2 linked regions of the Caenorhabditis elegans genome follow. The protein of the gene in region 2 interacts with the protein of the main gene of each other region in a biochemical or structural test. Each region holds a gene or a part of one and is shown on either strand. Other genes may lie near its edges.

Evidence for each region. Proteins that work in one complex are often made in the same cells at the same time.
Region 1: the proteins of csn-5 (region 2) and fbf-2 form a complex in vitro, tested with the Caenorhabditis elegans proteins (one study listed by BioGRID).

Annotation. Positions count from the first base shown.
Region 1 is NC_003280.10:6,086,151-6,094,973, reverse strand, and holds fbf-2 (Fem-3 mRNA-binding factor 2), read left to right. Parts: upstream 1-3,493; 5' UTR 3,494-3,601; coding exon 3,602-3,643; intron 3,644-3,691; coding exon 3,692-3,925; intron 3,926-3,973; coding exon 3,974-4,149; intron 4,150-4,201; coding exon 4,202-4,454; intron 4,455-4,497; coding exon 4,498-5,111; intron 5,112-5,162; coding exon 5,163-5,291; intron 5,292-5,337; coding exon 5,338-5,541; intron 5,542-5,585; coding exon 5,586-5,832; 3' UTR 5,833-6,111; downstream 6,112-8,823. Other genes in the region: tpp-2 (Tripeptidyl-peptidase 2), read left to right, coding at 16-486, 532-769, 816-1,159, 1,208-2,094; nspg-3 (DUF19 domain-containing protein), read right to left, coding at 2,219-2,429, 2,478-2,574, 2,618-2,772, 2,892-3,154. UniProt on the Caenorhabditis elegans protein: RNA-binding protein that binds to the consensus sequence 5'-UGUGCCAUA-3' in mRNA 3'-UTRs. Involved in the control of stem cells and sex determination in the C.elegans hermaphrodite germline.
Region 2 is NC_003282.8:5,647,932-5,651,726, reverse strand, and holds csn-5 (COP9 signalosome complex subunit 5), read right to left. Parts: upstream 2,195-3,795; 5' UTR 2,192-2,194; coding exon 2,126-2,191; intron 2,076-2,125; coding exon 1,822-2,075; intron 1,774-1,821; coding exon 1,391-1,773; intron 1,145-1,390; coding exon 741-1,144; 3' UTR 648-740; downstream 1-647. UniProt on the Caenorhabditis elegans protein: Probable protease subunit of the COP9 signalosome complex (CSN), a complex involved in various cellular and developmental processes.

The DNA.
Region 1 (8,823 bases), on a different chromosome or scaffold from region 2:
CTCATCATTTTACAGAGATAACACTCCGATCTACTAACAAAGACGAAATGGATAGATTTACACTTCATACGGTCTACATTGAGGATGATAAATGTTCCCGAAACACAGAAACTCAAAAAATACAGGGTCCAATTGGAAATGAATGGAGCAAGTCGATTACTGTTCAAGGTGGAAAGACTCTTGAAGCATGTGTTGTTCGTGCTTGGTCACGTGGAAAGAATCCTGTGGATGTTGACATGACCATCGACTTCTTTGGAGTCAAAAAGCCAACTTCTATTTCACTGATTCATGGAGCAACTAACACGCCCATTCGCTTCCAAGCTGCTCCAACGAAAAGTATCGACGTTTCTCCTTCGATTTCTCTAAAATCACTTGTTGTATCACTGAAACCACAATCTGCCAAAGTAGAACCATTGGGACCACGTGATATGTTCCTTACGTCTGGACTTCAAATCAATCGTCTTCTGTTGACTTATCAGCTTAAAGGTAACCTTTTTTAACTACATAATTATTAAAATATTATTTTTTCAGTTCAAAAACCAAGTGAAGTGCAACTTCAACTTGCTGGCCTTACTCCATATTTGTATGAATCTCCTGTGGACTGTGTACTCTTCCAAATTTTCGGAGCAAACAAGTCGTTTGTGGGTGCTTCTTCTTCGTACCCGGATCGTTGGACTCAGAAGCTTGAGAAAGGAGATTATACTATTCAGGCTCAGATTAGATATCCGGATGATCAAGTTTTGCAAGGAATGAAGGAACTTCCTCTGCTGTAAGTAATTCTTTAAATTCTAACTGAAATGATTTTTGTGTTTCAGTGTTCATGTGAAACTTGGAAACAAAATTTCTGTTGACCTCGCAGCTTCTGCCAGCGATGCAACACTTGGAAAAGAGTGCAAATTTGCTGGAAAAGCCCTTCTTCCAAATCAAGAAATGACCGTCTACGCTATGAATATCGCTGATGATAAATTGCCAAAGACTATCGTACCAACAAGTGGAAGTTTCCTTGCTGGAACATTTAGTGCTCTCAAGGATTCTGATTTGAGTGATGTAGACAAATCTGAAGTTATTTACTTTCTCAGTGAGTACTCTACTCGTCCTACGAAAGGATTGTCAATGGTTACAACAAAGAAAGATACGAATCAAAATCAGGAAATGACTGGTAGATAATAATTAAAAATTGTATCTTTTATTAAATTCATATTTACAGACGCCATTCGCGATTTGGAAGTATCATGGGTGCAAAAATTGACAGACGAAAAGGCAGCGAAAGAATTTTTCGAAGCTTGTCTGCAGAAGTATCCAGATCATCTCCCACTACTTCAGAATCGAGTAAAGCAATTGATGCAAGCAAAACTTGTGGATCAAACACCGGAAAACGTGCAGAAGATTATTGAATTATGTGGTCAAATTTTGCAAATCACAAAACCGAATGAAACTCTTCAGTTCTCATCCGTCAAGCAAGAACATGATGATGATCTCCTTACTGTTGACAAATGGCTGGCACTAACCGGAGGCAGTGAGGACCAGCGAAAGGATGTGGTGAAGTTGATTTCACAATTTGAGGAACGGAAGAAAAGTATTATTCTCGCTTTGCAAGCTCTTTCATCATTGGAGCAGGATATTGAAGTTCGTAAGAGCAAGTTCGACGTTCCAGCAAGTCTTCGTTTCGGAGGAATCACTCCTCTAATTTTCGGTGGAAAGCAAGGAGAAGTGATCAATAAGAAGTCTGAAGGTTATGAAGCACTGAAATCAAAATCTGAACAAATTGATGCAACTGTCTCTGAAGAACTGAAAAAGTTGGATAGTAATTGGACTGGAAATCAGTTTTACGTCAAGCTTCTCGTTTGGTTGTCTGCTGATGATACTAAAACTGCACTGATCTCTGCCAAACATGCAGCTGCTCTTGGACAATTTGGAAGATGTGCAAAGCTTCTCAACAAAGCTGGAGATGAACTGAAGTCGTCTGCTACTGATTCGCAAGCTGTTGATACATCATTGGCTGAAGTCTGCGAAAGTCTCGAGTGGAATCATCTTGCTACTCACTTTAAAAATTCGGCTCTGATCAAAAACAGAACCTCCTACCGTCTTTTCTAATTAGTGTATCATAAGAAATTTCGCGGGTTTCTTTTTTCTGGAAGCTTTTTTGCTTCCATTTCCGTTGTGAATCAAATGATTTTCCCATTTGAATAGATAAACTTTTATTGTTTTATAAATGAGATCAAACAAAAATTTTGCAGAGATACATTAAAATTATTAAGAAGAAGAATGTTCGAGGTTGCGACGAATTGATGCATGGCATGTACTCACAGAAGTTCCACCCAGTCATGTGGGTGAGAATCTTCTGATATTGGCAGTATGATTTGACAGCACTATTTCCACATGATTTTCTCACTACTGCTCGCTCACATTGTGTGGTTCGTGATACGGAGCTCAAAATTAAAAACTAATCTCAATAAGTCTGAAACTATTAGACTCACTCGCAACTGCCAACTTCCAAAACGGAACATTCAGTATAAATCGTGTCAGAGAGATCATTCAAACTGATTGCTTGCATACATTCATAATATGCCACAACTGAAATATTTATAAAACAATGAACGAGAATGAAAAACCTCACAATCATTTCCATAATTACAATAGAATTCAAGAAACCCCGTTTGTGAGATGTAATAAGCTGCATTGCTTTCTGAACCAAAAATTGCATTGAAAGTGTTATAGTTGAGACAATCATTGATGACGTCACTATGACAGTGACGTAGAGTTGTATATGTACTGTAATTATTCGTCTTTTTTAAAAATATTTATTCTAGCATGTAAAACCGGTTCTATTGAAATTCTTCAATAATTTTACAATTTAAAAGGTGTTGCAATGTTGTAATACCTTCACATACCTACACATTCCAGTGGCATCGTACCGAATTTTCTTAAATGGATCTTCGTCTGCTGGGGGAAGGCTAGTCACATTTGAACCATATGATTGAAACATATCTATATAACATTGTTGTAGCACTTGATCTTGATCAGAACTGCAGTTATGCAGCACTCCTTCGTTTCCCGCTACGGTTTGCTTCACTAGACCTGCTAAATCAACTTCGAGTGTCTCTAGCGATTTAGTAACGATCGTAACCACAACAACGAGAATATTCCAAATCATCAAATATAGGGAAAGAAAATTTTGTGTTTCGAGCAATTTAAAGTGTTTAGTCTGAAACAGAATAGCTCGTAAAATGTCGTCACCGTCAGTCGACCGGTTTATAGCTTTTCGGGAGGTTGAAATGTGTTTATCAATTTGATATGTTACGGTCCCGGAATTTTCCAAAAATTTTTATTGTTTCTAGTAATCATTAGTAATCAAATTGATAATTATTTTAAATACACTTTTTAATTCTTGAAACATGTGATTAGAATCTCGCATTATTTGAAAATTTCAATTTGGTTACGGTAGACAATGACAAAGTACGCAAACACCAGAGTATGTGACACACTTTCGTCATTTGCGAATTCGATTTTAAATATTATTTTCATATTCCCATTCCTATTTTCTGTGAATTGATAATTTTTCTATGAGTAATCATTCTAATAAAATTATCAACTAATCGACATGGACCAATCAAAGATGCGCAGAACGAATCAGTTCAGAAAAGTAAGTTTTCAGTAACTTCTAAAGAAACAAATGGCCTAAGTTTTACAGACTTCCCAGAAGCCTCCTTCTACAGGGATTGACAGTTATCCGACTCCCGCACAATCACCAATGGCGCAGCATGAGACACCTATGTGGGACTTCAACTCTCTCAACCCGTATTTCTCAATGCTCAATATGAACGATGGGATTAATTATGCTCGCCATCAACAGAATCACATTGTTACATCGCGGCCACCAACCCCGCTAACTGATTTGATGAGCCTTCGGAGTTTTCAGAGCTTTGTAAGTTAGAGTAGGCAATTTTTGGTTGTTTTCATTACTGATTTGCAGCCCAATGTGTTCATGCCGGTCTCGCGTAGCCGAACTTCATCATTCATTCAGTCTGATACGGATTCCTCGCGTCTCGAGTCGGATGATTTTTCACAAAATGTCCGATGTTTCTCTGCGGATATTGATCGTAGCAAGAGCTATGGTTCTTCAAAACACTACCATTTGAAATATTCGAGGTTCGAATTAATTTATCACTATCCTCTAGTATTTATTCTTTTTTATTTATAGACCCGCTCTGTCGAGGAACTCTAGATCATTCACAAGATCAAACAATGTGCTGCCAACCTGGTCCTTGGATTCCAATGGTGAAATGCGTTCAAGATTGTCGCTCTCTGAAGTTTTGGATAGTGGCGATTTAATGAAGTTTGCCGTTGACAAAACTGGGTGCCAGTTCCTAGAAAAGGCAGTGAAGGGCAGCCTGACATCTTATCAGAAGTTCCAATTGTTTGAACAAGTTATTGGGAGAAAAGATGATTTCCTTGTAAGTTTTAGTTTCTGCGAGCACACATGACTTTTCTTTTCAGAAATTGAGCACGAACATCTTTGGAAATTATTTGGTACAAAGCGTTATTGGAATTTCATTGGCAACTAATGATGACGGATACACAAAGCGACAAGAAAAGTTGAAGAACTTCATCAGTTCCCAAATGACAGATATGTGCTTGGACAAATTTGCGTGTCGTGTTATCCAATCCAGTCTCCAGAACATGGATTTATCCCTTGCGTGTAAACTTGTTCAAGCTCTACCTCGTGATGCTCGTCTTATCGCAATCTGTGTTGATCAAAATGCCAATCACGTCATTCAGAAAGTCGTAGCAGTCATCCCACTGAAGAATTGGGAGTTTATTGTGGATTTCGTTGCCACCCCAGAGCACCTCCGTCAGATTTGTTCTGATAAGTATGGGTGCCGTGTTGTGCAAACTATTATCGAAAAGCTCACTGCTGATTCAATGAACGTTGATTTAACTTCCGCTGCTCAAAATCTTCGTGAACGAGCGCTCCAACGACTCATGACTTCTGTGACTAATCGGTGCCAAGAATTAGCTACGAACGAGTATGCCAATTACATAATACAGCATATTGTATCCAATGATGATCTGGCCGTTTATCGGGAATGTATCATAGAGAAATGCCTCATGTGAGTGTTATTGTTTAATATCTACTTGATTTTTAATCATCAATATTTCAGGCGCAACCTTCTTTCGTTGTCCCAGGAAAAGTTTGCTTCTCATGTTGTTGAGAAAGCATTCCTACATGCACCATTGGAACTTCTTGCCGAAATGATGGACGAGATTTTCGACGGATACATTCCACATCCGTAAAAACATTAGTTTCAGTCACATAAAAATGAAATGTTTTTTCAGGGACACGGGAAAAGATGCCCTCGATATCATGATGTTCCATCAATTCGGAAACTACGTCGTTCAATGCATGCTGACTATTTGCTGTGATGCTGTGTCTGGAAGACGGCAAACGAAAGAAGGAGGCTATGACCATGCAATCTCATTCCAGGATTGGCTGAAAAAGTTGCACTCGAGAGTTACGAAAGAAAGGCATCGCTTGTCAAGGTTATCACTATTGTCACAATAATATTTTGAAATTCGAAATTCAGGTTCTCATCCGGCAAAAAGATGATCGAGACGCTTGCCAATCTCCGTTCAACTCATCCGATTTATGAACTCCAATCTTCGGGACACGATTCATTCAAGACGGATTACTTCAGTACTGCTTCCGAGCACGATGGTCCGGAGTTGGAGAAGAATGGGATCGAGGAAGGAAGCCTGATGCTAGAGCCACGGAGCAATAAGTCTTCAGTCTCTGTCAAATTTTCTTCTTCCGGTAGTCACGGCGATGATTAAGGTGGAACTTTCTCACCATAAATCTCATCCCACCCACTTATGTTCTGTTGTTTTGTAATATTTTAAACTGGTGCAATGATTTCGTTTCGATTTTAAGATCGATGTTGTGCCTTCCCCACTCTTATCATTGCCCAGTTTTGTTTTTTCTTTTCTTTTTTGTTATTTTATTGCTTTTTATGCAGTTGTGTTATTGTTTCTTTCTGTTTACTGTTCATTGTTTTTGTTAATTTTTTATTTTCGATTTTAATGAATCCAGATAAAATTAGACAACTTGGCAAAATATCGTTCGAGTCTTTGTCATGCTTCCACCGAGAGCTTCCTGCTTCCATACAATGCCTGCTCAGAAAACAATTTTGAAAGCGAAGAGAAAAGTTGTTCTTTGCTCGGAGAACAAAAAACTGATAACCGACAAATGTTGACTTTGTAAATTTAATCAAATTAGAAACCATGAAGAATAAATATAGTTCAATTATCATATTGAAATTTATCTTACAATTGCATCGATTTCAAAATAATGGGACTCTCAGAAAATAGAAAAACAAAAATTGGATACTGGGGATGAGGAAGAACTCCGCGAACATTGGCGGTCCTTCTCTCATGTGGTCCTCGTATAGGTGGTGGCAATCCTCTCATTGTTATCCAACATCGAGAAAATGTTCTTCGGCTAGAACTCTGAAACAAAAATACTTTCAAATTAAAATTGTCAAGATAAATTCGTACTTCCTGACACAATTTGTGTTGTTGCAGCGTTGAATTCGATTCCAAACCAAGTGGCAAGACCAAGACCCAGCAATGATGATGGAATAGTTGAATTGACAGAATTCCTCGAGCATATCAGCAATGGATGTTGATGCAAGTGGATGCAATGTTCTTCTTTTGTTTCTCATCAACGTTTGCCTTATGATTGTGAAGTGACTTGATGAACTCTCTCTGCCATGCTTAAAGAACTTGTTCAGCAGCAATTTCGTTCCATGCATCAATGTCTAATCCAGCCTTCATAGAGTTTCTTCCAGGCTTCTGCTTGAATCTCAAGAAAACATAGGCGGGGCTTGCAACGAGAAAAACTGATTGAAGAGCATCATCTCCTGATAGTTTTCCTCCCTTCTTGGCACGTCTTGGATCTCCTAGTATCATATCTTCAAGCCAATTAAGAACGTTAGATGCGAAACCAGAACATCCACTGTGTATACATATTCATCACTTCGGACCATTTGTCTTTGTTATCTTTCAACCATTCGAAAACAGACTTCCGGTATTATTTATAATCTGAAACATGACTTTATATTTTAATAGAAAAACGAATTTACTTAAATACAGTCTTTCAATTCTCTGGCTTTTTGCTTTTTCTCTTTTTCTTCTGCAGCTCTGGTTTCCTCCGGTGACAAAGTAGTCGTAGTTGGAATAGGAGCAGTTGTTACTGGAATATTTGCTGGTACTGCATCTTCAACTGCTGGAATCGCATCTACTGGTCTTTATTCTTAATCTTAAATTTTATGGCAAATACTGTTTTACTACTTGATCTTTTACTATGTATCTCTTTTACTACAAGATCTCTTTTACTACGGAATCTCTTTTACTACGAATTCCGCATTTAGATCTTTTACTACAATTGGCTCTTTTACTACGTGATCTCTTTTACTACCATTTGACCACATATATCTTTTACTACGGAAAATACTTTTTTACTACCTCATTTTTTACTACGTGGATCTTTCACTACGGTTTTTTATTCCGATGTTTTGCTACAGTTTGTATCTTTTGCTACGGTAGACATTTTTACTACAATGGCAGGGATTGTACTTTTCACTATGTTTCGTATCTTTTACTACTAATTTTTTACTACGAATTAAAAATTAATGTCTATAGTATTTTATATTCTAGATATAAACAAATGTATGAATTTTTTTTCAAAATACATAGGTCATAATTGTAGATGGAGTTAATGGAGGGAGACTGTTGAGTTACTGTAGTGGTATTGTGGAAATAACAGTTTTCAGATTATATAGTGTTTTTTTTAATTTCTGGAAATTTATTCACTATGAAATGAGCAGAACTTATTATGGCCATTTGGATCTAGAAATTAAAAAAAACACGATATGATCTCTTGCTCTCTTGTAAAACTTTTGTAAAAATTTCAGAAACATTTAAAAAGTCCTCTATAAATGTTTTAAAACTCAGAAGATTTTCTGAAAATGAAAATGTAGGTATCCTATCTCGGTCGTCAATTTATTTGTCATAGTTTTCAACTACAAAGTTGTTGAATATGGTATGATCTACGATTTGTCAGTTGAACATTTTTTTACCAAATTGTTTTTTCGCGGAGATATCGGTACTTGGAGTCAATACGTTTTATGAACTAACTTTTGACAACTTATCTCCGTTTTTTTTTCAAATCTAAAATCGTGATATAAACATTCAAATTGACCGAAAACAATAATAATTTTATACAAGATTCGATAAATTTAGAAAAAAAACATTTCTAAAGTGTTGATCAAAAGTTTCAAAATGTCAGCTGAAGTCAAAATTTTAAACACCTGACAGATAACTGACCGAACCCGCAAGTTTTTTATTACATTATAGACTTATACATATAGACATTATAGACAAAACTTATAGAGCAACGGGTATGGAACTAATTTGTTGGCTATGCGAAAAAAAAAAGAATTACTCCCACAATACCACTACAGTAACCCAACAGTCTCCCTCCATTAACTCCATCTACAATTATGACCTATGTATTTAAAAAAAACTATTCATACATTTGTTTATATCTAGAGTATAAAATATTATAGACATTAATTTTTAATTCGTAGTAAAAAATTAGTAGTAAAAGATACGAAACATAGTGAAAAGTACAATCCCTGCCATTGTAGTAAAAATGTCTACCGTAGCAAAAGATACAAACTGTAGCAAAACATCGGAATATGAAACCGTAGTGAAAGATCCACGTAGTAAAAAATGAGGTAGTAAAAAAGTATTTTCCGTAGTAAA
Region 2 (3,795 bases):
CTTATTAAAGCCACATAATTAAAGATAATTAATTCCGCCACAATAATCGTTTTTTTCTTCTTTGCCGTGTCTCATTTCATTTTGATCTACTCTTTCCTCCCTTCGGATTCTTTGATTTCCCAGTGAAATACCTCACCCACTTCAATCCCCACAAAGTGAGCAACCCCTATCTTGCAACAGTTTTATCATCTCTTCATCATACCCAGTTTGATAATTTATTATCTGATCCCCATCCCCTTGTCGCCTCTCATTAGTATCCTAGTTTTTCATTTGAGCCCGGAGCTCAGACTACATCTCCGAATCATCATACAAATAGATAGAAACGGGTCTCGTGACGAAAGAATACGTGCACCACACGACCCCCCCATCCTGTTCACCCCCATACACCTGAAAAATATGATCTTTACAGTTATTTCTATTATATCCTCAAATCTCTCGTAATATCGTATCAATTTCCTCTTCTTTTTTGTCATTTTCAATTTTTCTCAAATTTCTCAGATCTATTCTTTTTCTTGTATTTTTGGAACTTGTATCCCTCCTCCATCCCCAGACTTCCCCTTCCCAGTTACTCTTGTACATTTTCATATATGTCCATATATCGTTTGAATCTCTCATTTATGGAAATAAATTTGAAAAAATCAATCATTGAAAAGCAAAAATTTCATTCAAATAAAATGATGTTGGTGAATTTAACACAGAAAACAGGGGGACTTGATTTATAAATATAGACAAAACGAGAATTAAGCATCGGCCATCTCAACAGCGGGCTCCGGAGCAGATGGAGAAGGACCAGCCTTCTCGGGTTCAGTTGCCACGGCGATATCCATTGGAGATCCTGCAGAAGCATGGGAACATCCACAGCCACCACCAGCTTGGCGAGCAAACAATAGTTGTTTCACGAGATGAGAGATTCTTCCAGTTTCAAGTTCATCTCCGACTGCCTTTGCATCGGTCACGACTTTCATCAAAGCTTCATGTCCATCGACACTTCTGTCATTCAATTGGAGCTTCTTATCGACGGCCGACAGCTTCTGATTGATGTCTTGAATTTGATTGTTGAGGAATTCGACGTTTGAGAAGAGTGGAGAACTGCTGAGAGTGGAAATCCAATAGCTGTTCCACAGAGAAGTCAAGATGTGAGCGTCTGGAATTTTAATTATTAAAACGGGAAAGAATCGGAGATGTTTCTTTTTCAATTGAGACCAATTTCCCGTTGAGATGTTTAATATTATTATTCTTATTTTAAAAGTTTAAAATTTCAAGCTATTCGATTCCAATAAGTTTAAACAATCCAAAAAACAAAGCTTTGAATATTGGATTTTACAGTTGATTGTCCTTTATCGTATTTTTATTATGTAATTCATTCCCGATAAATATAAATTTCACCTACCAAGTTGTGATTTGAAGAAGCTGACGTCAAGCGAGTAGTATCGTTTGCAATGTACACCGAAATCCTCAATCTTTGCGAGAGGAATCGACTGATACTCTGATGGAACATCATCTGGTGGACGGTATCCTTCTGGATATGTACGGAATGCGCCAATGTCAACCTTTCCGGCAGACATAGTTCTCAATGGATCAATAACAATAGCAACCCATGGCTCTTGGAACTTTTGATTGAGTGTCTGCGTTGAGACGTCGATTCCGGATAGCCAGCATCCATATCCAGGATGAGAATGATACCATCCGACGACTTTCTCCTTTCGACCTTCCGTATCGCACATTTCAGAATAAACTGTCATGTACTCGTAGGCTTGAGCTTGGGCATTGACTCTGGAAATTTAAAATGTTCGAAATTACTCCCAGCGTAAATCATTTCACCTGGTCTCAGTACCCTCAACTGGAAGAGCGAATACATCAAGAATAATGAAAGAATTAGCATCGATTCGACCTTGCAAAAGTCCCATAATTTCCAGATTTCCACCTCTTTTCGCGTGCATTGTCATTTTCAGAAGAGCAATTGCAGATATTTTGATTTGTTTGAAATAATGTGGATCTTTATCCCATGGTTTTGCATTTCTGATTTCTACTTGCTGCTTGTTGTTGTACTCGAAAATCGAATCGACATTTTGGACCTGAAACACAAATAATATTAAAAATCTAAAAATATTTAAGAAAAACTGACGTTATTTTCTTTTTCCCAGTTTCTCTGCGGAACTGAGCTGGATGGCTTGACGTTATCAACTTCCATCGTCTGAAAAAAGCATTACCTTGCTAATATTATTAAGAAATACAATCAATAAGACGATAAGGGCATGAAAAATGATAATGAGATGATTTTACATGAAGAATTGAAACAAATTAAGTAATTCTCAGATTATAATTTTTTTAAATCGATTGAAACCAACAAAAACTAAAAAAAATCTGAAATTTGAAATGAGAAAATATCTGTTGTTATTCTAACAACGACACTCCAACTTTCCGTTGGTGCGCGTTGTTTACCGTAAACCGACACCAAGCGGATGTACTACAATTGGAAGACTTGATTTCATAGAAGAACAAATAAATAGGAGAAATGTATTAAAAATGATTATGGCGGAATAAGATATTTAAGTTTTAAATGTCCTAAAGACTGGTTATCCAGCTTGTTGCATTGTGGATCCCTTTTAGAGAAGTTGGCATTCCAGTTCAAAGGTTTTTGCTCAATTCCAGAAACATATCATCAATCTGGTGTAGTCTAGAATGTATACTACAAAATACTGAACCTCATCAATGACCCTTAAATCTTCCAGAAGAATATTCATGAATACTTGCTACTGCAAGCAAAAAGTTTTATAAAAGCCACAAGCTGAGCAAGAAAACATTTCGCAGAAAAAATGTTATCCGCAATTTTCCTGATTATCAACTCGTTGGTGACTGTTTCAGGATATTGTGTTAATTTATTCCTCCTCCACGTGGCAATATTTCATAGTCCGTCTATTATAAGAACATTCTCAATTGTCATTATTAACATGGCATTCACTAATTTTGGAGCATGTCTTAGTGGATTTCTGATTGGACAACGAGTTATTCCAGCTGGGAAACAATTATTTTATATTTCCTATGGAATTTGCTCAAATTTAGGAGAACAGTTTTGTTTTGATATGTGAGTTTGACGTGGAAAAAAAAATGAATGTCAATGGAAAAATGTTCCCGTTTCAAGAAGTTTTTGAAACAGAAGAAATTTGAAAAACAATTATATGTAGGTAGATCAAATTGTTACTGCCCTATTTTTATATTTATCTTAACATTATTTAAACGAGGTTTGGACGGGTTTAGTAAGATGAAAAATTTTTTAAATGGGAGAGGGCTAAATTTAAAAAAAATTAAGTCTTGAACTATAGAAAAACAATAAAAATGGATCATTGTCAAAAGGAATTTTTAAAAATCCTTTAAATCGATGAAAAAAATTAAAATCTAAACATACACTTAAGAAATGTATAGAGTGTTTAAAAATTTCAGTCAGAGTTTCGGCAAATTGCCAAATTTTTTTTGCGAAACTTTTCCCTTTTTGAGAAATTTCATGGATCTCTGCAGGTTTGAAATTTTAGAATTTATAAAATTAATTAATAATTTCGAAAACTCAAAGAAAAATTTATTTTTGGTAAACATCCAAAATTACGATTGCTGAAGCCTAGGACATCAATTAAAAATTAGTTCCAAAAAGTTTTTGAAAAATTTAACTAAAAGCAGTTTGAAATATTTTTCCATTATAGTATATATTTTTCCACATATTTTAGCAAATTAAATCCATCGAAATTAATAAAAAAAAGGTTTCCCCAACAAAGATAGTTTAAAAAAACAGTCTCCACCCAC